Linked DNA regions of Stegostoma tigrinum. The protein of the gene in region 1 interacts with the protein of each later gene in a biochemical or structural test. Links are inferred from orthologs where the notes say so. Each region holds a gene or a part of one and is shown in the gene's direction. Other genes may lie near its edges.

What was found.
Region 2: the proteins of receptor tyrosine-protein kinase erbB-4-like (region 1) and nrg1 form a complex in vitro, tested with the Homo sapiens proteins (2 studies listed by BioGRID and IntAct, with this or other methods). The link is inferred for Stegostoma tigrinum from reciprocal best matches to the Homo sapiens genes ERBB4 and NRG1.
Region 3: the proteins of receptor tyrosine-protein kinase erbB-4-like (region 1) and abl2 form a complex in vitro, tested with the Homo sapiens proteins (2 studies listed by BioGRID and IntAct, with this or other methods). The link is inferred for Stegostoma tigrinum from reciprocal best matches to the Homo sapiens genes ERBB4 and ABL2.
Region 4: the proteins of receptor tyrosine-protein kinase erbB-4-like (region 1) and pro-neuregulin-2, membrane-bound isoform form a complex in vitro, tested with the Homo sapiens proteins (2 studies listed by BioGRID). The link is inferred for Stegostoma tigrinum from reciprocal best matches to the Homo sapiens genes ERBB4 and NRG2.

Annotation. Positions count from the first base shown.
Region 1 is NC_081360.1:9,781,263-9,789,144, reverse strand, and holds the start of receptor tyrosine-protein kinase erbB-4-like, read left to right. Parts: upstream 1-4,862; 5' UTR 4,863-5,170; coding exon 5,171-5,246; intron 5,247-7,882. UniProt on the Homo sapiens protein: Tyrosine-protein kinase that plays an essential role as cell surface receptor for neuregulins and EGF family members and regulates development of the heart, the central nervous system and the mammary gland, gene transcription, cell proliferation, differentiation, migration and apoptosis.
Region 2 is NC_081354.1:13,474,151-13,481,130, forward strand, and holds the start of nrg1 (pro-neuregulin-1, membrane-bound isoform), read left to right. Parts: upstream 1-3,957; 5' UTR 3,958-4,074; coding exon 4,075-4,714; intron 4,715-4,961; exon of another isoform or gene 4,962-4,983; intron 4,984-6,980. UniProt on the Homo sapiens protein: Direct ligand for ERBB3 and ERBB4 tyrosine kinase receptors. Concomitantly recruits ERBB1 and ERBB2 coreceptors, resulting in ligand-stimulated tyrosine phosphorylation and activation of the ERBB receptors.
Region 3 is NC_081361.1:43,180,106-43,187,231, forward strand, and holds the start of abl2 (tyrosine-protein kinase ABL2), read left to right. Parts: upstream 1-4,117; 5' UTR 4,118-4,603; coding exon 4,604-4,775; intron 4,776-7,126. UniProt on the Homo sapiens protein: Non-receptor tyrosine-protein kinase that plays an ABL1-overlapping role in key processes linked to cell growth and survival such as cytoskeleton remodeling in response to extracellular stimuli, cell motility and adhesion and receptor endocytosis.
Region 4 is NC_081366.1:39,056,932-39,063,808, forward strand, and holds the start of pro-neuregulin-2, membrane-bound isoform, read left to right. Parts: upstream 1-3,866; 5' UTR 3,867-3,879; coding exon of another isoform or gene 3,880-3,979; 5' UTR 3,980-4,076; coding exon of another isoform or gene 4,077-4,190; 5' UTR 4,191-4,469; coding exon 4,470-4,875; intron 4,876-6,877. UniProt on the Homo sapiens protein: Direct ligand for ERBB3 and ERBB4 tyrosine kinase receptors. Concomitantly recruits ERBB1 and ERBB2 coreceptors, resulting in ligand-stimulated tyrosine phosphorylation and activation of the ERBB receptors.

The DNA of each region.
Region 1 (7,882 bases):
AAAATCCAGTATATTCTCCAGTTTTGTCTTGATTCCCAAGTGTGTAGGGCCCAAAACCTTAGAATCCTCTTCCTGAGCATCTGCCTCTCGAACTCCCTCTCCTTCTTCCTTGTTACAAATAAACAAGTGATTTCATCAAGCTTTTGGTGCCCTGTATTTTTGTGTGGTTCAAAGCAAATGTCTTCAGCTAACAGTCCTGACAAGCACCTTGGTGCATTTGACTATTAGAGTCATACGACTTGGAAACAGACCCTCCAGTCCAACTATTCCATGTCGACCGTGTTCCCAAACTAAACTAGTCCCAGCTGACTGTGTTTGGCCAATATCCCTCTAAACTTTTCCTATTCATGTACTTTTCCAAATGTCTTTTAAATGTTGTACCTGTACCTGCATCCACCACTTTCTCTGTCAGTTCATTCCATACACTAATCACTCTCATGTCTAAAAAGGTTGCTCCTCATGTCGTTGTGATTCACACTGAAAATCAAACCCCACTCCTCCTGCAGTCATCACTAGAGTTAAAGATTTGAAAAGTAATATATAAATAATCCACATTACCTGATTTTTAGACACAGATTGACAGAAAGCACAGACCAGGTTCTGTACTATTCTTCGTAAGTGTCACTAATTATTACAGCTGATTAGATTCTAGCTATAGATAAGCAATTCAACTAAATTAAGAAAACTCTTCAAATTACAACTCAAAACCCCTTGTAAACTTTCTCTTACAAACACACAAATACAAGAGACAAAAATAAACAGGGTTAAGAGACACACGTGGATGGAGGGCAAATTTAGAAAACAGTTCCACAGTATAATTTCACAAGATCTCTTGGGTTGGTTCCTTCTGATCCAAAGATTTCTTCTTCCAAATGCCTTCACTGATTTGCAAGAGTCACAGGTTCACTTATGAAAGGTCTCTGACATGTCCAATTTGAAGTCCCAACTTGCAGCATTTGCTGAGGCTTTCATCAGGCTTAAAGTGGCTTACTGCAGAGAACTGAACGAGAGAGAGAGAGAGAGAGAGAGAGAGACTGCTTGGCTGCTGCAGACCTGCTGGCTTCTTTTATGATCTGACCTAGCACCTCCGTTGGCCTGTAGGTCAGCCTTGCCCATACTTATCGTGGAGACAGGATTCCTCACATCAATCCTACTGAATAGAATTCTAGAGTTAATTATACCCTCACTCTAGGTATAGTTACTGAGTATGTGCAAAAGGGGCAATGTCATTGTGAGGTCAGATCACATGGAACTGGTGCCTGGGTCTGCAGGACTGTAGCTGAGATGTCCAATCTTACCATTCTATGCATGCAATCAAAATGCACTTCATTCACAAGCCTTATCGATGACAATATTAATTAATTAATTGAGTTGTGCTGGGATAGATCCATACTAAAGTGGCCATACTGCGTGCGGTCACACAATGCGCTCTCTTTCTTCGAAATCGTGGATTTTGAAGCCAGGATCTCTCCAATTGGGCCCAACATTCAAAAGAGATTAACTGATAGACAAAGATAAGGATGAAGAATATGCCTGAAGGTATTGGGAGCAGTATTTAAGGATGCATCCAAATGGAAATTAGATTCTTATAAGTGCTACAAAGAGTTAATTTTACAGGCTGTGCAGTCCTCGAGAGAGGTCAGGAAAAGTGAACTCTTCTTTGTTAATTGTCCACAGATACTGCTAGAGCCGCTGAGCATTTGTAACATCTCCTGCTCAAAATGATGTCTGTCCGTGCTGGGAACAGTCAGTCTGCGATCAATAATGAGCATTGAATGCATGAGGGACTCAGCATTGGTTGCTTCGTCGTCAACAGGGTGTCTCTGGAATACTTGCTCCATTGTTCCCGTCGTGTTTCGCACTCAACGTCTCCGACATGAATGAACAGTTTGGTCATTGATTGCTCGCCCTGTCTTTCCCCGGCCCTCCTCCACCCAACACATTGTTCATTCACCAAACCCAGGTTCACTCAGTTCCGGAAACCGGCAACACTCAAAAGCTGTGGAAACCAATTTCAAAATCTGAGGAAATCGAAAATTATAAACATATTTTTCTGAAAAAAAACAGAGTGCCTCGGTAGCAAATGAAACTGACATTGTAGTTTAGCCTTCATTAGTATCAAAACAGGCGCGTCAAACATACAGCTGACCTGGAAAGATGTAACAAATACAACAAAGTTTATAGTTTTAAAGAATAGCACATAAACATTAAGGGGGCAAGAATCGAGCTTGGAAATATTTATGTTAGTGAACCTAAGCAAATCTTGGAAATTCAAAAAGTCCAGGAAATTGCAAAACAACAAACCTAATTATGAATTTGACACAAAGAGAACGTGAGGAAAAATGTCAAAATCAAATATTGACAGAGCCTGAAGAATCTTGAAAAATGGGGAAAAAGAGGTCAAATAAACTTAATCAAAATTAGGCCGCCCCAGCATTAAAAATTGGTCGATTTTTTTAAATTCAGAAGCCAAAATACAGCAGATCTCAATGCTCAGTCATGATAAGCTTGTACAAATCCACACTTACTGACATTATTGGTGATCGAAAATTTGGAAATCGTCGGAGAATTTATTGCCTTGGAGGCGAGCTATAATGCCACCTCGGAATAGCAGTTAACTGGAAAGCTAAACGCTGATAGTAAAAAGTAAATAAAGTAACCGGACGAAAACAAACATGGACAGAGCCCGAAATATTTTCAATTCAAAAATTAAATAACATTTGAGAAAACCTTTTTTGTAAATAGCGACGTCTTTCACCATGTATGCATCTAAAACAAAACTCTTGCCTCTAATGTTAATATTGTTCAAATAGAATCTGAACATTGCTTGTGCGTGAAACATGTAAAGGCACCGACTTTGACACAGAACAACCCTACTTCCAAATGCAAAACCTCCCAAGACGTTATTATATTTTCATTTGCCTCAGGTTTAAAATAGGAGATTTCATACGCATTTATTTTGCTAAATTCAAGGTCACGGGAAATGTTGCGAGAATCACAGAGAGAAAAAAACAAAAATAAACAATGCAAACGATTGCAAATATTTCTGGATAGATAAAATCGAGCAAAGTCCGGGAAGAAATTAAAACCGAGCCATCTTGGGAAATTAAAAGCTGAAGCGGTTTTCAGAAATCATAAAGGTGTCATTAAAACGAAGGGTTTTTTTAAATCAGCGATTTGAATACGATTTGCCTCAGATTCCCTCGTACCACTAGGGAGCGCTGACATATTGACAATATCCGTAAAGTAAAACTGCGATGCAGGGTACAAGATTCGAAGTCAAAAGAGCGAAGCATTTCTGTCGGTGGCACACTTGGAATGCAGCAGAAGTCTAATGGAGACGACACGCATTCTCCAAACTTGCAAAATTCCTCAGAAACGCCAACTCCTATACTGCTCACGGGCTGGGACACTTTTTTTTGAAAGAAAAAACCCAGTTGTGAATATTTACTGCTCTCAGTTTTTTCCTAAAACATCTGTTGTCACTTCTGATGGTTCGCATTGCCCTTAGCAAGCTTTGCATGTAAATATCGAAGTGACCGCAGGGGTCCTTTTTTTTAATGGTAACGGATAGTCGTTTAAAAAAAGACAGTCACTGATTTTGGTGAGGTAATGTCGCTCAGTTGTGTGTGATAACACTTCTGGGGAAGAGAGGAAAATACAAAACGTCTACTGTCACGAATTATCTTTACAAGCGTAGTTTTGGGTTTTTTAAAATTTCTTTTGGTTTCTAATTCGGTTCATCCTGCGATTTTCTCACTTTAGGGAGCAAACAATGAAATATTGAGCGTGCGTGTGTTGTAAAATCGTCTGCAGTTAAAAACATTCAGAAGATGGCAAGTCCACGATTGGGAGTGTTTATTGCACTGCGCCTTCTGGCACGTTGCGTCTGTTTACAAACGATCGCTTGCTTCCAAGCCTTGTGAGAAATTTGCCACAAGAAAAAGTGCGCGTCTGAAAAGTGTGCGAGCTGTCTCGCCAGACACTTTTGTTTTGTCACTTGGGTCAACCCTGAATCTTTCGGGTTCCACGCTGAAGTTCTTCTCCGGGGAAATGTTTAAAACGACAGTATATTAAATGCTGGGCTTTTGTTACGCGTTGAGAGACCGCATGCAGATCTAAAAGGCTACACTCTGGGTATGCACACATAGTAATGAACATAGCCATTGTATGCAGCAAGTCCGGGGAATGCATGGGAATGCGCCGTGTGGAATCAAATGCATAACATTCAGAATGGTAAATCAAATGGACGCTGGGGTTACCTGAATGATTTGTGCCTGGGATGTGAAAATACACGATTGTAAACTGCTCGGTTTGTGCAGCTGGCTAGGTTTGTAGGAATGCGAACGAAGATCGACACTTGTTACGCTTTTGGGCTCAGTCAACCCCATAATCCCAGATTAGAGTAGCATCCCAACCCACCACGACTACCCAACCCCCGCCCCCACCTCCACCACGACTTCTCTCCCCAGGGCACAGGTCCCCATATCTCCACAATGTACCAGGCAATTATCCCGAGAAGTGATCATCGCAAAACTATACCATGGTTAAAAAAACGGTCAGCACCTATACAATTCCGAGTCGGAAAGTAGCAGCGATGGCATGGTCACAAAGTTGTAACTACAAATCCCTGAATGCCCTGCCTGGAGAGGGTGGGGTGTTTTGGAGGGGCGGGAGGCGGGGAGGTGGTGGGGCGTGGCCGACTTTCCCTGACGGACGTGCGGAGGAGCCAATGGTTAGAGAGGTGGCAGGTGCCGGATTGGTGAAGTGGCCAATGAAGCTGATAGGGGGGCGGGGAGGGGCACCGGAGTGGAATTTGTTCATGGTTCTGTTGGGCGAGAGCGACCAATCCAGCAGTGCTGCACTGGGCACAGACAGAGAGAAAATGAGCAGCAAGCCTGGCACATAGACCGGTCAGAAGCACTGAACCCCCAGCGCGGAAACAGCGCTCTGAATTTAAAACATAACACCGAGACAACAGGAGGGAGCAACTTACAAACAAACCCAAAAAACCCCCCAGCAGCAACAGCAAAAAAAGTTAACCCTCACTTTCTGCGGATACAGTGGTAGTCATGTAATTTTTTTTGCTTTGAATGCACAGACTGTCTGACACAGCCGCTCCCGTACCAACACAGAGAGAGGGGCCAGAGAAAAAAATAACTGGGAGAAAATGAAGTTGGCCGCTCTTCTGTTTGTGAGTGTTTTCTGTGCAACGTTGAAGGTGCAGGAAGTAATTTCACAGTCAGGTAGGAGACACATTGTCCTTTCTTGCTTTTGTGTATATGTGCGTGTGTAAAGGGTTGGTAGTTGGTGGTTGTAGTGGGGGGGGGGGTGCGGTTTAGTGTCGGTTAGCGCCTTCCTCCTCTGCGTTGTCTGTCTGGCACGATTATTGACATGGCAAAGTTGGGTGTGAGGGAAAAGTTTCGTTGCGATTGCCCTAGCTCCTGTCTGAAATGGTTGTCTGTGCAGAGGCATTGTTTTTATTCTGGTGCCACACAAAATCACGCCCCGCGGTTACTAAGAGGCGTACAAGTGTAGCAACAATGTGAATTTACCTTCAGTGTTCCTCACGGGTTTTGCAACTTTTGAGTCATGTAACAGTATCTAATGTGGAGGCAACTGACAGTTCGTGTTATGTGGGGAGCGGGGCGCCTCATGTAGCCTTGAGAGTGTGGTATGAACGCCGGCTGTAATCCGCCGGGGAACTTTGCGGTATCTTGTGTCTAAGATTGTGGGGAGATACGAACCCGGGTTAACTCCAAACCAAAATGCCACGGAGCGTCGACTAAATTGCTTTGAGATTAAACAAATTAAAAGACAAAAAAAGAGACAGCCTGTCATTGCGTTGTTAGATACGCTTGAAGTTAGATGGGAGCGCAGTACTTTTAACGATGCGATGGGGGGGCCAAGTGAGTTGTCAGGGTGTTTTGAAGTCGGGTCCGGCTACATTTGGATGACCTGACCGGGGGAGATCTGTTACGATGAACGGGTGGCTGGACGGGCACCAAGCCGCCTTCGTGCCTTTTGGAGCTCGTTGAAACAGCGGCTTCGGTTGCATCGTGTTCACATTAAACGAGAGAAAAAAACAAGGGAGAACCTGAGAGTCGCTGTGCGCTTTTTCGACCCGCACGTAAGATCGGGCAGTCGTTACAAGCGGAGAGTTTTTGTGTATTGTTCATCCAGCCTCAGTGAATGAGATGGGAGTGGGCGCGCACATTACAACCAGAGGAGTTGGGGAGTACATCAGAGATCCCCAAGCCTGTTTTGTCCTCAGCCGGGAAAAGCTGCAAAGTTAGCCCCCATCTCTTTCAGCCTTTCTGTCTCAGCTGTTGTGCCTGATCCCAGTCAGGATGAAGAAAAGCCAACGCAATACAGTCCAGAGATGACAGTCTCTCTCTTTCTCAGACACACACACAGTACAAGACACAGTGCTGAACATCTCGTCTCCAGAAGAACACGCTGCCCACGGCTTACCCTTCCCCTCGCCTTGACCATTCTCGCCCAAACTGTGGCTGTCTTCCCTCTACTTCCTCCGCCCTCGCCCACGCCACCACCACCCCCCCCCCCCCCCACCCTCACCCCGGCACTGCCCAGTGCTTGACGTGAAAAATGATCTTCCCTTAGACTGGGTGAGGTGGTTTGGGTGGGTGAGGGGGCTGAGTGGAAGGGGACCTGTGTCAGACCTATCGTGCACAACAGAAGCTTCGTCGGTTTGCTTTACAAACAGCTTGAGCCGCCCCACCAGGCAGACAGCCATGGGCAAGTTACGGGTTTTGACGAGGGTGATTTGTTTGTTTATTTGAGTAAGCGTTCACTTGTCAACACCGGTCAATGTAGAACAAGTGCTGGGAGAGTGTCATCAGCCTCCTCCACCACCCCCGCCCCCATGCAGTCCCAAGTGATTGTCCACGCTTTGAGATCTTGATGGATGTTTCCAGGCGCTGAGAAAGCGGCTTTGCTCAGAGAGCATCAACTGGCGCATCTGACAGTCGCGGATGATAAAGGGGCACCGTCACTGAAACATTGGAAGCGCCTTCCAGGAGAGGAGCGATTCGTGATTTGATGGGTAGATCAGCGGGGACGAGAGGTAGATAAGAGGTTCCCCTGGCAGGTTTCAGGTGGGACTGTTGGCGGCTGGTAAACACCAGGGTCCCATGCTGGTTTCAACTCAGATGGGCCGTGGGATTTCTGCTCGCCAACTTCTCAAGAGTAACACACCCCCCCTCAACCCCTGCCCACCCAACCCTCCATCTCCCCCACAGGGACAGTCTGGACGGCAAGTCCTGCAGGAATAGTTTAGGACGCGGCCTTTTCTGGGGAATGGCTTGCTCCTTGAGACCGCACGCTCGGGATAGAGCCGCGGGGGTGTTGAGACGAGATGGGTTACGCCTTGCCAGGCTTGATGCGGGAGCAAGAAGGTCCCCTTTTAAAATGCAGATCGGGATTGAGCTGGGGCATCGGCTGGTAACGGGGCTTTCCCGTTGGGCCACCACGGCCTGGCGTGGCTTTTGCTCACGGAATCTGTGGTGGGATTGGACGGGGGGGGGGGGGGGTGAAACCCATCCCTGAATGGGGCAAACAGGAAGCTGAACTGGGCACTGGCCACAGTGAACAGTCTGTTCAATGAGTCAGTGCAGCCCAGCCTTTCGAACTGTCTGGCACAGGCTGTTTTTACTGCTTTCACTGTGCTGCACTGACATAACTTCATCTCCCCATCCTCTTGCCTGCACCTTTCATCTACTCTGCCCACCCCCACCTTTTGATGTGGCCACCAGTCTCCAGATAAACCACCTTCCTCTCCCCTCACCACTTCCCACCACCCCCCACCCCCGCCCCAGCTACTCCCGCGGGAGAGGTGATATTGAGGAACCTGTGTGTCCAA
Region 2 (6,980 bases), on another chromosome or scaffold:
GTAAATCATATCCTAACTCTCTAAAGCTTGTCCATTATCCACAAGGTACAAATCAGGATTGTGATGGAACATTCCCCACTTGCATGGATGAGGGTAGATCTAACAACACTCAAGAAGCTAAACAAAAAAAACCCTAAGTACCAAGGATGCTGGAAATCAGAAACAAAAACAGAAATTGTTGAAAAAACTCAGCAAGTCTGTGCAGAGAAAGCAGAGTTAATATTTTGGAAGTCCTATTAGAGCTTAAGTTCTGATACTCAGCTTTCTCTCTATGCTTGCTACCAGATCTGCTGAGTTTTTCCAGCAATTTCTTTTTTGCCTCAAGATGCTAACACCATTCAGGTCAAAGCAGCCTGCTCGATTGGCACTATATCTACAAATATCCACTCCTTCCACTACTAATGCTCAGTAGTACCAATGCAGGTCAACCATAAAATGCATTGCTAAAATTCATCACGGATCCTTGGACAGCACCTTCTATATGTTTGACTACTACCATCTAGAAGGACAAGGGGGCTACCAACTCCTGCAAATTCCCCTCCAAATAACTAACCCAACCTGACAGGAAGTATATCGCCGTTCCTTCGCTGTCATTGGGTAAAAATCGGGGACCTCCTCCCCCCCACCAATGGCTTTGTGGGTCAACTTACATGAAACAGACTGCAGCAGTTCAGGAAGGCAGCTCACCACATAGAGTTGGGCAATGATGCTGACCAAGTCAGTGATTTCCACATCCAAGAGTTCCTTATTTTTTTAAAAAATTGCAAGGGGCACCATGCAATCACAGTGGCTTTACAGACAGTGATGGCTATAGGACCTGGGTAACCGCTTCACGCTGAAAGTTTTCTTTTGTGTTGCAGCTTGGTGTCCCTGATATGAATTTTAAAGCCCTTGACTTGCTCGCTGCCCCACTCCCCTCAGTGAATGGCAAGCTAGGCAGCAAGGAGTTGCTCAGGAACAAGGGATACAACCATTATGATGGCAAGCAGAGCAGTGAACCAGAGAGGAAGAGACAGCAATAATAGGTGCACATTTTCTGGTACCCATTTCAGTGCAGTGCAGATACACCACATCAATGACACTATCTTCCTTTACAAGTGCATTGTCAGCACATCCACTATTTGGTGCCCATTTGGACGCAGCATAAAGATATAAGGAAACACTGGTAAAACAGTGTGTGGCAGTTTAAAACCTATTTCCAAATGACACGTCTCAGAGCTTTACATTTTGGTGTCAAATTTAACCTGTATTATTTATCTGCAATCGCAACATAGGACCTTGCTGCACAGACAATGAAGTTCCTTTGTGTGACACGTTCAAAAGACAATCTGTGCTCCCTTACACCCTCACCAAAATTATCTCTTTTAAAATCAAATCTTTCACATATCAACCAAAAATTAATATCCCAGAGAACGCAAATGTCTGGGTTCATGCAAATGAAGATTCCTGTGCTGCTTTTGCGCTGTCGTCCCTTTCCTAAGAACTCACGGAGGTGAACATTTTCCAAACTAATTTTCATAAATATTAATTCTTAGGTGCACACATTATTGGCCGGGTGAAATCTATTGTTGATTCCTCTCTGCCGGAAAAAGGCAATGTTGGGCTGTCTTCTTGACCTACTGATTGTAGTTTGTTATAACTGCTTGGTTTTCTGAGCCCCTTTAGGAACAATTTGTAGCTGCATTGATATGGGATCAGAGACACAAAAAGGTCAGACCAGGTGAGGATGGCTAAAAGATTACTTAGCCTAAGGGAGGAAGCTTTTCTTTTAATGTAGTGTGTAGTTTGGACCTTGAATGTTCCGCCTGTGAGCTGTTGGACGCAGGATGAATTCAGGTTATCATAAGAGAATTTATCTAAAGAAGAAGACACTGCAGGTTTGTGAGGAAATGACAGGGACTTAGATGAATTGCACCTTCTGAGGTCCAGCATTTACACAAGAAGCCAAATTTGTGCTGGAACCATTCTGTAATGCTACTCTACAGGGCAGTTTTATTTAGAAATGGGGGGGGGGGGACTAATTTAAAATGACACCGATTCTGTGACCATTATTAGAACTAAATTATGATTGTTTTAAATTTTTAAATTTGAATTAAAATTCCCAATTTGGAATTTGAACTTGTTCAATCGTGTTGGCTCCTATATACGTCTTCCATAAAGTGACATATTTCAGCTCTTTTGATGACAAGGGAATATCCTGCACAAAATCCATTTGGGATCAGGGCGCTGACACTTCGCAGGAGTTCTCCTGAGCTTGCATATTGAGTCATGTGATCTCTCCTGGTGTACCTTTGACCAATTTTGCTTTAAATCCCTCAGTACATTGCCTCTGTTAGGAAGTATTCCTGTGAAAAGCAGCGCACAGGAGTCACTCTGTTCTCTGACCTACTTTTCCTAACGTTGCTTCAGCACCAGTCCATTCCAGAAAGGACGGGAAACATTAATCCTTTTATTAATTTAGCACAGTGAGAAATGGGTTAGGGTATCCATGTGGTAAATTGCTCCCGTATTCATAGACTGTGCGTACAGCTCCATCTCTCAGCTCACCGTCCTCGACATTGGCAGAGTCCAGTTCATGCTGAGACTGTGTTGATCTGCTGTTAGATCTGTATTAATGACAGCCTTGGTGGAAGCCCGTCCTTGTCTCTCTGATGACAGTCTCACAGCACTCTTTCTATAATGTATGTGTCCTGTTTTTAAAATGCTTTCACTCACTCTCTCTATTTTCCGCAAATCACACTCACTGCCCAAGAAGTAATTGTCTTTCCATCTGCAATTTTATCTACTTTTAAAAAATATAAGCGAGGGGCATCACCGCCAGATTAATTAGGAGGAGGGGACTGAATTAAAGCTTTTCTGATACTGGAGTGATTTAAGAGAGTACCTCCCTGAGTCTGACACCTTAAGCCTGGATTTCTGTTAAATATCCCCCATACCCCCATCAAACTTATATGAGACGCAATGGAACTCCCGAAAGCCAGGCTTATCATGTGAAATATCTAAAGTTCGTTCCATCTGCCTGTGTTTAGCCCACCTTGAACCATCCACGCTTCAGTTGTTAGTCATCATTTGTGATGAAGCTGGATGTCGGGACGCCATCCGATCTGTGGGAGCGCATGAAGTGAAATTACTGGAGGAAATCCCATTCCCTTGAGAGGTTCAGCGTCTGCTCGTTCCACCAGCCTCTCTGTTCTGGCCCATACACTGCTGCTGTGTATTAGCATAATCAATTGCTGACTCGTCTACAGTAGCTAGGGAGGGGATGAAGCTGCCCTGCTGCCTGCCTTTTTTTTTCCTCTTATGGGATGGTTCATTCCTGGCTAATTGGATCAAGGAGGAAGTTGCAGGCTGTCTGTGCGGTTCTGAATGGTGCGTGCTGTGTGTGTGTGTCTGATTTCTGCAAGACCTGCCTTCCCCCAGTGTGTGTGTTTCTATATCTGTCTGTGTGTAGATGAAGGAGGAGGAAGTTCTGTTTGTCCTCTCCCTGTCTCTGCACCACCACTCCCCCTCCTCCCTTCCCACCCTCCCAGCTAATGACACCGCTGCCACACTGCGCTGAAAGCAGCGGGCACCTGGTACCGTTTGGTAATGACTCTAGCTTTGCTCTGGAGCAAGCCGCACAGTCACAGTGAGAACAGGATGCCGCGGCCTTGTATTTGTTTTTCCTGAAGGTGTGTGTGTGTGTGTGGTTGTGGGTGTGGGTGGAGTTTTTTTTTTCTTATTTTACCAATCCTCCCAGGTGAGAGAGAGAGATCAGGAGCGACTTTCAATCTAAAAAAAAATAAATGGCAGCTAACCTGAGCAAGCACAGCCAGAGATGACTTGAGCGTTTGTGCACTCACTGGAGAGACTGAGTGGACAAGGTGCAGAGCTGCTGAACCCCCACTGTTGCCCCCTCCCCCGCCCTCCTTTACCACCACCTCCTTCCCCCCCCCCCCCCCCCACACACACCCAGAGGACTGTCGCTGTCCATTTGATGCCTGGACACCTCGCTCGCCCTTGCTTCTCGCTCACTTCCCCTATTGTTACTCAAGAGGTTGCAGAGAACGGTGGCACCTTCAATGCACCGGGAGGATGTCAGAGGAAGGGAGTGAAAATTCTCCGGATCGCTACCCCCCTCCCTGCCTGACCCCGTCTACCGAAGACACTGCGGAGGATGCTCCCTCGGCAGGCCAGAATGGAGCGCTGGGGCTGAGCGGCCTCATTGCTACCTGCTGCATCTGCATGGAGGTGGAACACGTGCGGACTTGCTTAAACTCTGAGAAGATCTGCATCATACCCATCATGGCCTGTCTGGTGAGCCTGGGTCTTTGCATTGCTGGCCTCAAGTGGGTTTTTGTGGACAAGATATTTGAGTACGAACCTCTGACGCACCTTGATCCCAAGCGCATAGGGCAGGGTCCTATAATCTCTGCTGACCAAGCAACAGTGGCCGAATGGCCGCCACCATCAACTGCCTTTACCGCCACTTTTCCGATATCTGATTTGATCCAGACGGTGAACGATCCTGATGACCCTTTGGTGCTCCCCTCAACTCCTTATGCTAGCCCCTCTCCTCAGCCCCCAACCTCCTCTCCTTCCTTCCTACCCTCTGTCGTACTCGAATCTTTCTCCCCAGACCCTGTCGTCACCAAAAACCGCGAAGTGACAGAATCAGCGTTTGTAACCCTTCCCCAAATGACAGATACAAACCTCATTATCGCACCGGCGTTTAGTAAGTAACACATTCTTTTCCTTATAATTCTTGGTGGGGGAGGCGGGGTTTGTGGATGGGGAGGCAAATTCTCAGCCTGTTGTAATCTGCTACTTTAATGTTTAAACAGAACACTTTGTCTCTTAGAGAAAGCTATTTGGTCTGAATGTTTCCATTTGTCCTCAAGAGAAATGAGTTTTGCAAGGGATGGAATCCTCTTGACTTTCGTTCATGGTATCATCAACAGCACAAAGATTCTATTTCACATTCTCTTCAATATTTCGTTCAGGGTAAGGGGTTTGTTTACTTGGCTTAGATTTTGTCAACAAATGCAGACTTTCATAGGGGAAGTAGTGCAGAATCGCCTCTAAAATAACATCTGTATGAAAACAGTGCACTGGGAAATAGCTTTTGAAGTCACGGGCCCCCCATTGACAGAAGCCTGTTGTTTGTGTTTAATAATACCATAGGACTGTAGCTGGGCTACTGTTAGCATGTTTTGTAACCTTGTGAATCTTTGCTCCTGATTCTGCTGACTTACGATGTATTCCAAAAAAGCTTCCCATGCTTGATGCAAACTCTGGTTTTAAACAAAATCTTTGTTAATTTGTTTTCTGACCCTGCCATGAATAAAATCCAACCCATTTAAAAATTATACTCCCTATTTCATCACGAGCTGCTTTCAATTTAGTCCGAAACACCAGCTGGAGATTAATCAGAAAGGCAGTCTATATGTATATAATTTGTTCGGAATAATCAATATTTATTCTCTTGTAAAAGGATCTGTACTGTGCATGTATGTATTCTCTCCTGTGATTCTTTTTTGCCTGGTTCTGAGGTGAGCTTCAAGGTCAGTCACTGCTGTGAACTAATTGATTCCAGTCTATCCCAGAGACTTATAGAAAGACAATCTTGTTAATGTTGCCTTGTAGGTTGTCCACTTTGTACAATGACTTTGCAAGATTTTTTTTCTCTCTTATTAGTTTTTGGCTGCCTGCCAAACTTTTGATATTTCAGTATCCTCACTTGTTTAACTGGTTGCAATGGCACTTTTTCAATAACTTTAATGTTATTCTGGACCCAATGCACGTCCACACCTTTGCTGAAAATCTGAGAAATTATTTCCTGCCTGAGTAACTTTCTTTCACCATTGCTTTGCTGGCAGTTTTACTTATATTTGCATGCAGTTCTTTACCCTGGATATTTGAAGTCAAAATCAATTCAGAATATGAGCGCTTAAACAGAAGGACACAAAGCCAAGGAGTATGTACAGACAGCTGCAGCTAGCAGTTAGTCCTTCTTTCGTGGTATATATCTTTGCCTTTATCTGCTTTCATCTCAAGTGATGTAGTTTGCTTTAGAAGATGGTTCATGTGAAACTATTCAAGTCAAACAGTTCCCCACCTCCCCAAACAATTGCTTATTTTATTGCTATAAGTTGCTATTTATAAGTGTGCACATGGAGTTTTTTTTAAATGGATATTCTAATTGGCAGAAGAGCCAATAATCAGAAATTGTAGATTTAAATCGACTTTGGAACTACAGGTGATAAAAGGTACAATTTTTTTTCTCCGAATGGGTGGTTAGTTTCGATAAAACACTGCATGAGAATGTAGCAGTGGTCATGACTAGTTCTTCTCTGCCTTTCAACAGGGAATGGGATACTACTTGAAGGGAAAAATCTGGTTGGGTGACAGCAGAAAGGGGAATGATTGGAACACAACTTGCCACTGGCCTCCTTCTGAGTTGAGACCATTCTCATATTCTATACAATGTCACTGGAACTGGTTCATGATTTATCTCATTTCAGACAAGTTTAGGTATGAGACGATTAACCTAACCCTATGGCTGTCATCTTTTGTAGTTGATCTGAAATGATGCAACACCTGGATGAGGAAGGATAGTGGCTTGCAGTGAACTGCAATCCAGTTAGTGTTGCTAGCTCTCCAGATTGTCTCTGAAACCTCCAGGATTTAAAAATTAATCTGCAGGTCACACCTCTGAGGACGTCAGGAGAAAAAAAATCATTGAGACAGCAGGAAAATTTTCTTTGACCACTTTCATTTATCAGTGACAATTGGAATGTTTGGCGGAGAATCAAGAATCATCCAATCAGGAAATTAAACTGTTTAAGTGAAAGCAAAATACTGGGGATGTGAACCAAACACTGAGAATGCTGGAGAATCTCAGCAGGTCTGGCAGCCTTTGTGGCAAGAGAGAAGCAGAGTTAATGTTTTGAGTCCAGCGACCCTTGAAAAGGGAACAGGATAATTAGCTGAAAGGAAGA
Region 3 (7,126 bases), on another chromosome or scaffold:
ACTTGTATTTTTGTTTGTGTTTTACAGGTATTTGCTGGGCTTCTGCTCTTCACAAAATGATCTGGATATGAATATAGGAGGTATGATTAGTATCTTTGCTGATGACACCAAGGCTGATGGTGCAGTGGATAGTGAAGAAGGTTACCTCAGGACCTTCATCAAATAGACCAATGGTCCAAGGAGTGGCAGATGGAGTTTAATTTAGGGAAATGTAAGGTATCGCTTTGGTAAGGCAAACCCGGGCAGGATTTATGTAGTTGACAGTAGGACCATGGGGAGAGTTGCCGAACAAACAGACCCTGAGGGGCAGGTCTATAGTTCCTTGAAAGTGGAGTTGTAGGTAGACAGAGTGTTGAAGAAAACATCTGGCACACTTGCCTTCATTGACCGGTGAGTTGAGTATAGCATTTGGGACGTGATGTTGCAGCTGTACAGGACATTGACGAGGCCACTTTCTGAAAACTGTGTTCACTTCTGGTCACCCTACTACAGGAAAAATGTTGTTAAACTTCAAAGAGTTCAGAAAAGATTTACAAGGATATTGCCAGGATTGGAGGGTTTGAGTGATGGGGAGAGGGTGAACAGGCTGAAGCTTTTTTCCCTCTGGAGTGTCAGAGGCTGAGGGGTGACCTTATAGAGGTTTATAAAATCACGAGGGGCATGGATGGGTGAATAGGTAAGATCTTTTTCATGAGGTAGGGGAGTCCAAAACTAGAGGACATAGGTTTAAGGTGAGAGGGGAAAGACTTAAAAGGGACCTGAGGGGCAACTTTTTCCTGCAGACAGTGATGCATGCGTGGAATGAGCTGTCAGAGGAGGTCGTGGAGGTGGGTACAATTACAACATTTAAAAGGTATTAAGGCCACATTTTACATGCAGTAGTTATCCCCACACTCCTTAGGGACTTGGAGAAGCTATATCATGTAACTTAAACACTGGAGATGTATGATCTGAGGTGCCTTCACAAGATCCTCCAAACCCAGCAGCAAGGAATGTGGCTCAACAGCACCTGTATCTTCCAAATCAACATTTCCACAGGTATCACAGTACTAATCACGCAAAACTAGCTCCCCTGGGCAGAACTTGTTGGTCACATAACTAACATCAGACTCTCAAAGTTTATAGTCTACTAATACTCCTATGACAATGGAAGTTTTTTCAGGAGGTTCTTAAATCACATTTTCAAAACAATCCCATGGGCATCCCTGGCTTGTGACCAACCAACCGACTGGTTGTCAGGAATATAAAATCAAGGCACTGAACAGAATGCACAAATCTTCCATCAACTCAACAACCTGACCTTCAAGTGCCAACTGCCTTGAATGTGTAGGATCTCCAGATCACACTTTGGATTTATCAGCAATCTCAGACCCTCCCCAAAGTGGAATTTGATCTTGATTCTGAAGGAGTGCCTGAGTATCATGTTTCATTAGTTAGGAGATTTGTGTACAGGGGTGCAAGCATTGTACAAGGAAGTATAGGAACAGGTGAATCACAGTTCCAGAAAACAGGAAATGCTTAAAATATGCTGGGCCGAATCTTTCTGAAACAGTGAATTCACGATGCACACTTTTATTCATGCACAATTTGAGCTGCAGGTTCCACCGCAGAAAGTTGTGCAATACATTGCAAATCTCCATAAACTTGTGGTTGATTTGCTTCTTACAGACAGCAGTTTAACCATCCTGTTACTGTCTAGTGTTTTTAACAATGGATTTCTGCATTAATTGAACATTGGATGCACCAAAGAAAGCTTGGGTTTGAACTTAATAGTCTAAATGTTCTTTTAATGGCATGATAATTGTTGATGCAAGACCAATTAATCTCTCTAGCCCAGAAAGAAAGCAATTCAGACTGTTGACTCTCGATCTTACTGAAAGCAAATTCTTCTTCTTTGGTTTCAAAACTTCGTGTTTTCTTCCTTTTCCAATCCTTTTTCATTCATTCTTAATCTAACATTTCTTTTTCTCTGATAATAGACATAATGGGAACTGCAGATGCTGGAGAATCCAAGATAACTAAGTGTGGAGCTGGATGAACACAGCAGGCCAAGCAGCATCTCAGGAGCACAAAAGCTGATGTTTCGGGCCTAGACCCTTCATCACTGGCTCAGATAGTAATTGCTGATTCACTGATTTTGTTCAACTGTTAAGAAAGTCTACTCCGTCAAAAACAAACTGATATATTACTGATGCAAGTAAGTGTTCAATCTGAGCAATAAATAGCTGTGTTCTTGGATTGACAATTAAGCAAACTGTCACTGCTTCAGCAAACCATTTCTCCCTGGTTCAAGAATCTTGGCTGACTTGTATATTCTTTAGACCAGAAGTACTGATGTCAACAGCAGGAGTCGAGCTGCTTCTCTGCTGGGTTATGCTAAATCAGAAATTCTCAAACAGTGGACTGCAAGATGAAATTCTGGAATTGCGAGCTCCATGTCAGTGGTGCCTTCCCCTTGCAGCTCTGACCGAATGTTAACAGCTGTGAATCCTCTTTCATTCTTCACATACTTCTGTGGTTGGCAAGGCCTAATTACCTGGTCTTCGGCATCTGGTTTTTGATTATTAAAAAAGCCAGTGAAAAAGTAAGTTGTTAGAAATCCCCAAAGATCAAATATTTTGCTTCTTTCTTCCATCCAAATATCCTCCCTGCTGCTTGGCTTTACAATTCACACAAAGGCGTCATCACAAAACCTCTATGTGGTGTCACAGAGGGAAGCATTTGGGAAGCGCTTTGCTATCTCATTGCAAGCCAGGAACTTAAATGTTGCACCTTCTAGATTTTTATGCTTTGGTCTTATACTGAATTATGTCTTCTTGTACTGTGTTATTAGGACATTAGGGCGGCACAGTGACTCAGTGGTTAGCCCTGCAGCCTCACAGCGCCAGGAACCTGGGTTCGATTCCAGCTTCGGGTGACTGTCTGTGTGGAGTTTGCACATTCTCCCTGTGTCTGCGTGGATTTCCTCCAGGTGCTCCGGTTTCCTCCCACAGTCCAAAGATGTGCAGGCTAGATGGATCGGCCATGCTAAATTGCCCGTAGTGTTCAGGGGTGTGTGGGTTATAGGGGGGTGGGCCTGGGTGGGATACTTCAAGGGGCGGTGTGGACTTGTTGGGCTGAAGGGCCTGTCTCCACACTGCAGGGAATCTAATCTAATCTAATCTATTCAAAATTATGCTGACACCATTGGGTCCACTTTAGAAATAAAAACTAGACCTGATGACAATTCAGTGCGCAATAGAAAATGGAAAACATCACCCCCCTCCTTGTAATTCTGACTACGGCCATCTTGTACAACAATTTCTGTGCCTTTTCCTTGATCTTTAGATTTGGCTATAATTTTGAATCTGAAAATTATTGTTTCTTTGGAACATGAAAAAGAAATATACATTGGAAATATGATGTCATCAACAGTTTAAAAACTTACAAACCCTGGTCAATTCATTTTCGCTGCATTAAATGGGGAGCTTATGTTATGCAACTAGCTCTCGGGGGAATATCTGGCTCTATTATTCATGGTAACAGCTTTTTCTTGTAGGAATTAGCTGGTTTCATTCAACACTGATTTTACTCACCAATGTACCGTGGAGAGGACTTTCCAAGTCATGCCTAATTCAATATTGATCAATTTGAAGTTCAGTAAAAGTTCTGTGTATGTTGTACATGAGGTCTAATGAACAGATACACATGATTCCAAGAGAATCAGGTGCCATCAAGATACGTTTCCTGCAGGTTTGTCAGTTAGCTGCATTAAATGAAAATTTGGACAACAGTAATGTCTCTGATTAGTCTTGTGATCCCAATGAAAAGGTGAGTATTCAGCTTAGGCTTCCCTCCTCTGACTCCAAACCCTTCCGACCGATCGTTTAGATTTAGCAGCAGGACGATATTATCTTCTCAGAACTGTGGTCAGTCCTCTCTTACTCAGAAACATCCATTCCTGTCGGTAAATCAATTTAAACACTGGCACCTGGTTCTTTCGATGTTCGGCAGCAGGGAACAGTCTCGGAAGATCAGTGCCAGAGAGTCTTGGAGGGCCAGTGACGGTGGAGTGTCTTGGAGGACCGGTGAGGGAGGAGAGTCTTGGAGGACCATCTCGGAGGACCAGTGGCGGAGGAGTGCCTTGGAGGACCAGCGACAGTGTGGACTTTTGGAAGACCATCTTGGAGGAGCCTGAATGGAACGCCTCGTTGTGGCTTGGGGCACAGGCGTTTGCAAACGGACAGCGGGGACGGGGGCGGATGCGGAGTCGGCGGAGAGAGCGGCTGCTGTGCCAGAGCTGAGGAAGAGTGATCGCCCGCCCCTTTCTCTTTTCCGCCGCGGTATCTGCAGGGACGGTGCTTTGCATTCGCTTTGAAGAGACAAGAACCCCCGACCCCTCTCCTTCCCCTCTCAGCCCGAGGGAAGGGGACCGGGCGGCGACCCCAACCTGTGACTATATATCAGGCGGAGAGGAAGCCGGGCCGTGCCGAGCCGGCCGGGTAGGGGCAGAGAGCGACACAATAAATCTGCCGAGAAGCGGGAGTGCATAGCGAGTGAGGATGTAAAGGAAAAGGCTCCGAAAGACCGGGATTCGGGACGGACGCTCTTGGAAAGACCGGGGATGGGGCAGCAGCAGGCCCGTGTTGGCGGAGCTGCTGGTTTTGGTGCGGTTGGGGAGGCAGTCCAGCCCGGCAGGGGTAGGCTTGGCACAACGAGGCCCGGACATGGGGCCAAGAGGCGAGACACAGCAGCCAGGAGTAACGAAGCCGCCTGTAACATTTTCAGTCACCATGGTAAGACACATAGGGACCAGGATAAAATCCTTTAACTATAGCACAAATATAGGCAAATCCATTCCCCATTGTTTTTATTCCATTACTTTCTCGCTTTGCTGTTCGTCAGTTGGTGAGAAACAATAAGATCTCTCATCAACATTACTGTAGGTCACTTCAGGTGATATCAGCGATTTCCAAATCAGCACAGTTCGTGTTCCGAGAATAATTATTTTATTTCCAAATCCAAATCTGCATATCGCACCTTTTGGGTGGTCATCAATTTCACTTGGGCTTGTATTGGGACGCATACGGGATTACAAATCAGTGTAATTTTCTGCTGCATGAAAATCAAGGTTTAATCAATAGATTAAAGTTGTGGTCTGAAATGCCTTGTAACATTTTCAGTGGTATAAAGTGGTATTCGCACACCACCATGTCGTCATCATGACCTGTTTCCACAACTAGCAATGCTGCATTCTGCCCTGAATCAGCTCATCCATGCCACTGTTACTTGAAGACCTGACGATTGTGGTGTACTTTGACCTAACGTTTCATTGTCGTGCCAGTGCTCGTGCTTACAGACTACTCGAATGTCTAGTTATAGAATGCCTCAAGTTTAAAATGATCGTCCATCACTTTTTATTCCCCGTGTGACTGGTTCCCATCAGCCCCATCGCTGACCAAAGTATCCCTGCTGCATTTCTGACCTGTTGAATGTCTTTGATTACTTTCCTGATCATTCCCTGAACTGCGTGGCTTTAAGTTCAAAACTTCATTGTCTTTGGGCTTCTGTTTGCATCATTACAATGTTCCTTATCATTGACCTCTTTCACCAAACTTATGACCATCAGCTTGAATATTTCCTATTTTGGCTTTCTACCAAATGTTAGGTTACGTACTCTGGAACATTGTGTGATGTGAAATGTGCAAAATCAATCCAAGTTGTTCTGTAGATTTTGTTAGCATCCTTGAATTATTGAGATAAGAGTACTTCACAAGTTTTTTTAAATTTTGCATGATGTAATTTTTAAAAAAATGTTGATTTCTGGGCGGCTGAGATTAGCTTTAAGGTGGAACAGTTAGCATCCACCTTATGCTGTAATTTCATTGCATTTGTGCTGCGTCATAGTGTGGCTTTGGAGTGATGAGCTGAAAATAGATGTGAAAGCTGAAAAGAGCAAGTGCTTCTTGTGTTTGTTCAAGAACCTGAATTCAGGTGTTCAGATATTGTGATTTTGGAGAAAGACCAAGTGGTCTGTCTTGAATTGCATGTTACTGGATTTTGCTAAGTCTGTCCAGTGGATGTTTGTGGTTTACAAGTCCACTTCCCTTGCAATAACCATTGTTTTCATGAAGCCTGTGAAATATCCAATTTTTTTTTCAATGATGTAATAAACTCTGGCTAAATGTATAGTTGAGGTTCAGTTTCATTTGAACTGAAATTAATAAGCATTTGAGTTTTAAAAGAGCAATATGGATCGAAGATTCCCAGAATCACAACAATCCAGAATTGCATTTTATATTTGTGCCTAGGTATTTTGCTGCTGAATTTCATTTAATTTATTCAGATATTTATTTCTTAAGTCTGATTTTATTCCCTATTTCTTCTTCTTCACCCTTTTAAATGGCTACCAACCTTACTTGCAAATCTCCATCATTTTTTTGAATATCAAACCACAAAGTCAATTGATAGTTGCCTTGTTTGCTGAGTTGAAGGTTATTGGTGCACTGCTTAGCCTGTAGAGTAGACATTTTTGGTCTTGTGCAACGTTATTTACCTTGCTTCGTAAGTGTAAAACAACTTTGTACTGACTCCTGGGCAGTGGAAATTGCCTATACAGGCCACCCTGGCTGGCACTGAAAGGACCAGTTGTACCTTGACTCAAAACCTGCTATTCGACCGAGTGCTTGTCGATACAAACTGGTTAGTGATGTCCCATGTTTCCCTTCCTTTGATTCAAATGTTTGCTGGTGGATCTTGCTCAGAAATGTTGCTGCATATGAGTGCTGAGGTAGAAACCTTGCTGTATCTGGGTTGAACATGTCAGCATCACAGAGGAGTTAGAGAGCTACTGTATGGATGGTTTCCGCCAACCTTTCATCATTTGGTGAATGTATGGTAGAGTTATGTTAACAAAGATGGGAAGCCAGAGGATTGGTCAATACAGTGTAGAGCTGGAGTAACACAGATCAATCAGCATTGGAGGAGCAGGAACACATTTTGGGTTTATACCCTTTATCAGGATTGAGGATAGGTGTTGTGTGGAGGATTATAGTAGTAATGTGTGTTGTTGCATTTGATTGAGCGTCAGCAATAGGGTAGTTGATGACCTTCGTAAAACATGCATTCTGTATTTGGTCGAGACTGT
Region 4 (6,877 bases), on another chromosome or scaffold:
ACTAATGGAAGATGGTAGATAGATGAGACCCCAGAATTGATTCTTGTTGTACTCCACTAGTCACAGTACATATGATTGAAAATGCTCTGTTCATTCCCTGTCTTCTTGTTATTAAACTAGTCCGTCTATCCACACTGATGTATTATCCCTAAGTGTTATCTAATCTTTAGTTTATGTGAATCTTTTAATTATCATATGCTGTACTATATGCCTTTTTGGAAATCCAAGTACACTATAGCTACAGTTTCCCCTTTATCTAGTTTTCAAAATTTTTTCTCCCATATGGGTGGCGCGGTGGCTCAGTGGTTAGCACCGCAGCCTCACAGCGCCAGGAACCCGGGTTCAATTCCAGCCTCAGGTAACTGTCTGTGTGGAGTTTGCACATTCTCCCCATGTCTGCGTGGGTTTCCTCCCACAGTCCAAAGATGTGCAGGCTAGATGGATTGGCCATACTAAATTGCCCATAGTGTTCAGGATGTGAGGGTTATCGGGGGATGGGTCTGGGTGGGATGCTCCACGGGGCAGTGTGAACTTGTTGGGCCAAAGGGCCTGTTTCCACACTGTAGGGAATCTAATCTAATATTACTTTTTTGCTGATATTAATTGCCTTCCTTAATATCATTAACTCCTTGGTTACCTTTTACTGCTCATCTGTAATTTATATCTTCTGCTGTAAAGACAGACACAAATTAGTTGTTTAATGATTCTGCCATTTTTTTCATTTCCCTGATTTATTTCTCCTGCGTCTGTCTTTCAGAGACCAGCATCTACTTTAGCTACTCTCCTATATTTCATATACTTGTAAACCTGGACTGTGGGTCTATCTGGGTGAAATCATGCACTTGTTTTGTCTGCTTTTACTAGGAGAAACCTAGTGTACTGAAGCTCATGGTGACCATTGTCACCTTTACATCTTCAGGCAATGCCCTAAAGCAAACAACAGAAATGGTGCAGAAACTCAGTGGATCTGGCAACATCTGTGGAGAGAGGAACAATGGGTACATTTTGAGTCCAGTACGACTCTTCTTCAGAACTCAGACTCTGAGGTTGAATGTCTGCCTGTCAGAGGTGGCAGAATTCAGTACTCGCCTCCTTAATGAAACAGAGACTGTTCCTTTCTGAGTTTGATATAGGAGAATTGCTCACTGAAGACCCTGGGTAGATATGGACTTCTGCTATGCATCCTCCTTCCCCTCCTTCTGCTCCCTTTTCATTCATCTTGTCCTGTTCAATGTCATATCTTTTCAATCTCCCTGTTATGTTGAGGACCAGGGCTATGGAAACTACAATACCAATGAATGAGAGCAACTGGTCTGAGGGGAACCTTTGAAGTGAACTCAAGCATCCACTATTTGCAGCATCAATCCCTGCAGACTTTGAGTAGCACTAGGAGCAGTCTTGAGGGGCTGAATGGGCTACTCCTGGTCCTATTTCTTATTGCCATATGGTCTAAACACTTCTACAGACTTAAAAATGATTTACTAGAAATGTGAAAATAAAATCAGAAAATGCTGGAAATACTCAGCAGTCATTACCCTGTAATATTGGCCTAAATAGTCCAGTCAGGTATGCTTATTGGATTAAAAATAATCCATTTGTCTTTAACCTGTTATTCCTTGACAGGGTCTTTCTGTTATGAATCTGTCCATGGTCCACCAATTCAGCTGTGCAGAAGATCCTCATCTAAAAATGCTCCCTTTTTCAGCAGTCAGCTTGGTGTGTGTAGGGGGGTCTCTATTGAGGGTGATGCTGGGGTATGGTTGTGAAGGGGAAGTTTTGAGTCAGGCCAGGATTTGGTCAGGAGTGAGGAGTGTCAAGTCCAATATGTGAGACGGGTTGTTAAGCCTGAGGGTCTTATGCTTTTGGGGGCAGCAGGTGAGGTCAGCAGGTGTATCAGATCCAGGGAGAGGTCAGGCTATCCAGAAAGGCTTTGTCAGGCTGTGTCAGGAAGGGGTCAGGGAAAGAGCGTAGTTTTGGGATGATTGTCACAGGTTTAGGGATTAAGGTGTCAAGGGGGGTGCAATTGAGGGCTGTCTGTGATGAGTGGTGATGTGGGGGTGCCAGTGTTTGACTGGAGTGGACAAGATGAGAAATCACACGACAACAGGTTATAGTCCAACAGGTTTATTTGAAATCACAAGTGCTGCTCCTTTGATGAAAATAAACCTGTTGGACTCTAACCTGGTATAGTGTGACTTCTGACTTAATGATGAGTGGGGGAGAGATCAGTTTCGTTGTTACCCTGGCGTTAGAGTATGGTTTTAATCACCTAACTTTAGAACCAGTCAGATTTCTTCGATGTTTCCTACTTTAATGCTTTTTTTTGAAGGGATCCTGTTTCTGGGCAATTGCTCATCAGAATTTTCAATTTCCCTTGAGTTACAACAGAGAGGGCTGTCAACACTGCTCAAACAACTTTCTGGGTATCCAAATATCTGAGCCATTAATTCTATTTCTTCACAAATGTTGACTGACCGACTGAGTGCCTCCAGCACTTTGTGTTCTTACCTCTACTGACACAGCCACAGCTAGCAGAAATCATGCAGTGACTGTTGAAAAGTAGTTGATTTAAATCATGCTGGTCAGAGTAGGGAAGGGTCCTCCATGCTCCTGTACGATAATTCCCCCGTACAGTGTTACGGAAGAATCCACACGCTGACTGCTGTCACAATTTGCCTCCTCACCGGTCTGCTGGTGCACTCACCCAGGGCCTGGGCTAATGGTTGATTTAGAATGGTGTCCACATGGCCCCGGTGAGAAATATGGGTGGCCTCCGCAGATACCATCTTAGGCCTGCAACGGCCCCACGCTTTTGCCTCCTCCCTGTAAAACCAAAAGTATGGAACGCCACACAGAAAAATACACTCATAAATTCTGTCAGACTTTCTTTGGGAGTCGCCTGAGTCGCTTGTCTAGATAGCTAGTCTGTGCTGCAGAAAAGGCACTAACAGCTCAGGTTCCAATTCCTGGTCTGACTCAGGGACATTGGAAACTACCTCTTCACTTTGCATCTGAGATCGGAAGGCGATGGCTAACCTTTCCGGAAATAAAATAATGTCTAAGGATGAAGCACCAATGGACAATGAGCCAACGAGCTGGTATTAGGGAAGGTATGCACAAAGTAGAGCTCTCTTTATCAAGCCTCGACACACTGAGAAGTTTTAGGCGGGTGTGGTAGAGGCTTTTCGGACTGCTTAGAATTTGCAGGAAATATTTTGCCGTAAAAGCCGATTTCAATCTAAACGCTGGGAGTCGCTGTACATGACGAGGGATACCTCACTGGTGGTCCGCAGTCGTGTGCTGTGGAACGTATCAGACCTCAGCTCCTGACTACACTGTGGTACTCAACAGTACACGCAGAAATACGACTTCTGATTAAAACAGGCGTGATCTTAGATGGAACGAACACACGCATACTGTTCATGGAAAGTCACAAACACCTGTACAGAAGGGTGGACCGTGCTTTCACGTGGTCAGTGACAGTATACTCCGTACCTGTGGTTTGCGGATGTTCTGTTGCATCTTCTGTCGCTCCTCCTATTCCTGTTCAGGTTGTTTTCTTTCGCTAGTACCGCGGTTTCTGTTCAGAGTAGGTGTGCAGGCAGCAGCGAGGATTCTCATACCCAGCGGTCTGTAGCACAAAGTGGATGTGATCGGAATGCAGCCAAGTTGTGAATAGATCAAAGCGAGAGGAGAGAGAGAGATATATATATACATGTGTGAGAATAAAGACTCACTGAATGTGAGGAGGTACTGGCCCTTGTTGGGACCCGCGCTCAAATTATTAAACGCTTGTTTTTTCATGCCTCTGCCTTCCAGAGAATGATCAGTTAACCGTTTCTATAGCAAAGCCTTTGAAGCAGGCTACCTTCGTGGGAAATGAAATGTGTCTATGCAGAGCTGCAGGGCGAGCTCTCGACTGCAAAACCCCAATGTAATGTACACAGAAACCATTGGCTGCCACTGAATGGAGGGATAGGTTTGTGGAACATACAAGCTGCTGTTCTCGGCAACTAGTTTTCAGTTTAGTTACTATAGCGACAGCATTATTAACATCGTATGAACTTCGTTAATAGAACTGGAAAGCATAAGGCGATGTGTTAGGTGTTCGGGATCTCAGTGGGATGCAGAAGACTGCGCCTGTTGGATGACACATAATGCGATGGAGCCGCTGCTGTTACCGAATGACGGTAAGTGCTTTGTGTTCATTTAATAAACAAAGTGGATTTTGTTGATATTTGCCAGTCGTTGCAGTGACAGGTTTAGGCAGCAGTACTGTATTACGCCGTTTCCGCTTCCGAGCGGTGTTTCCCCATGCAAACAGCCAAATGCCATGAACACTTACGCAAGGTCTCTTGCTCAGCCGTGCAACTCGAGGCGATTTGCAGCCCACTTTGTCACAACTCTGCCTTCCAACTCAGCGCCGCTCTACACCTCAGTGCAGCCGAGCGCGGCCGTGCCTTTCAACCATGGGGCTTGGTGCTGTCCATTTTGCCATGCTGGTCGCGGGGGTGTCGTTTGCCTGCTATTCCCCGAGCTTAAATTCTTTGCAGGACCAAGCCTATCGTTCAGCGGTGGTGATCGAAGGCAAAGTGCAGTCAGTCCCAAATCATACCACCGAGCCTTACAGTATTAATGTCAAAGTGTTGGACGTGTGGCCAGTTCATAGCGGGGGTCTAGCGAGGGATCAGCTTGTCACGATCGGGGACTTTGGATCAGAAACACCATGCATCAAAGTAAAGAAGAACCAGAAATATATCTTTTTCATGGAGCCAACAGATGAGCCGTTAGTATTCAAGACATCATTTGCTCCACTAGACACAGGCGGAAAGAATCTAAAAAAAGATATTGGGAGGATCTTGTGTGAGGACTGCGGTAAGTTATTTCCCCCCCTCGTATTTTGCTAATAGGGTTGGAATTTCTTTATTGCGCTATGACAGTTGGAATTGCATGTTGAAGTGTTTGCAGGTTATTGTAACCTCCATTGTAACCCACATTGATTCAGGATGAAATGATTATTGGGGCTATGAGAAGGAGCTTTGTGTTTGCGGACGTTTTCGATATCAATTCTGCGTGTTTGGATAATGTCATTTTAATGACTACATCAAAACTTCAGCACTATTTCCTTTCTGTACTTTGGTCCCTGCCTCTACGATCTTGAGATCTGATGCTCGTGGAAGACTTCATATGAAGGATTGGCTTGGAAAAGTGTGCACAAATACCTACCTGTATTTTCTGCTTTAGCATTTTAAAGAAAGGCTAGTTTTCGATGTGCTAAGTTTTGTAGTGAATGACGCATGGTTTTTCGATACCTTTTTGAAGAACGCCGTGTGAGCTGCAGCCCGCGAGGTTTCTGAATTAGCTTGTCAACAAACTGCATCTGGTGTTTGTATCCGTTGTTTATTATTATGCAGGTGGGTGGCTCAGGAGCGCTAAACAGACCGTAAGCATTTCAAATAGCTTATCAGTAGCCGTAGGTAATTAGCAATTGGTGGTCGGCAAAACAGTCACCAGCTATTGGACAACGGCTGGGGGAATCTTGCTGCAATTCTGCTTTATTGGTTTAGTTTAGTGCGGTGTAATTCGACATCATAAAAGCATTTTTGGGATGTTTCGTTGCAGCCTCTTACATGGCAAGAGAAAGGTTGCACTCGGACAGTTTGCAGTTTTGGTCTGAGAGCGATTGCCTTGTATTTTTACCAGTCTCCTCTTTCACGTGTACATTTATGGTCGTTCTTGGGAGCAAGATTTATTTTAGCTCGCACTCTTCGTTATGTTTGTGAAGCTTATCTTAACATTTTATTTTACGAAATGTTCTTTTGTGTTACTTTTTAGGGAATCGTTTTGGCACATAAAATAACAAAATGGAGCAGAAACACTTAGAGGGAACCATTTAGGTCAATCTAAGGTTGGCTTTAAAAGCCAACCGATTGCACTTAACGTTATCATTATACTAGGTACCCATGGCACTCAGTGAACGGTATTAACATCTTAGAGGGATGCTTTATTTTGTCAAACAGTACATCAATCACCTCTAAAACTTACCACGTTGTTCAGATGACCCATTTTGGGTTATAACAGGCTGGAAATATGTGAGTGTTATGAAGACTGCCAGAATGTAGTTTCCTAACTTCTATCACGGGAAACTCAAGTTTTCTGTGATCTTTTGTATTGGATAAACCTCTTGGTTGCATTAGGTTATTTTCCAACTATTAAATGCATGCTTGCCATGCAGGCCGTCTCTTTTTGTAATAGCTCAGCTATAACATTTTTCTTGTGTTTAAAGAAAACCTGGAAGTCGAAAATCTATTGATGTGAGTGATACTGACTTCATTTTGGATTACTGTGGTACGTACAAATGTTGCTTATGCTTAGCCAATGAATGTGAAGTATATGCAATCATTAACTATTTATGTTGGTATGTAGTCTATAAATGTAGCCCTTAGTACACTAAAGTTCACATTTTTCTGTTCAAGTTGTCATTGCGACTGTTGATGTAGAGTCAAATTTTCTAATGTTAGTTGTCAAATTTCCTGGTATTAGTAATAATATGCTATTATACATCTCAAAGACTTACTTCCACATAGTCTTGTGTAGTTTTACAGCTTAAGAATTTATATCAGGTTTGTTGTGACGTAAAGGAGATCCACAGAAATCTTTATTCAGTGCTCAGATAATTATTAGACACTTTTTACTTGCATTGTGATAATTAGCTCAAGCTTGTCAAATTAAGATAGATGATGCTGAAATATTAAATAGCTTTAGAACATCATATTTGCTGATGGAATACAATGTACAAATCAGATGGTTTTGCCACTTTCTACTTAACAATATAACTTCAGACATTTTCATTTTAACATTTGATGAAATGTCTTCA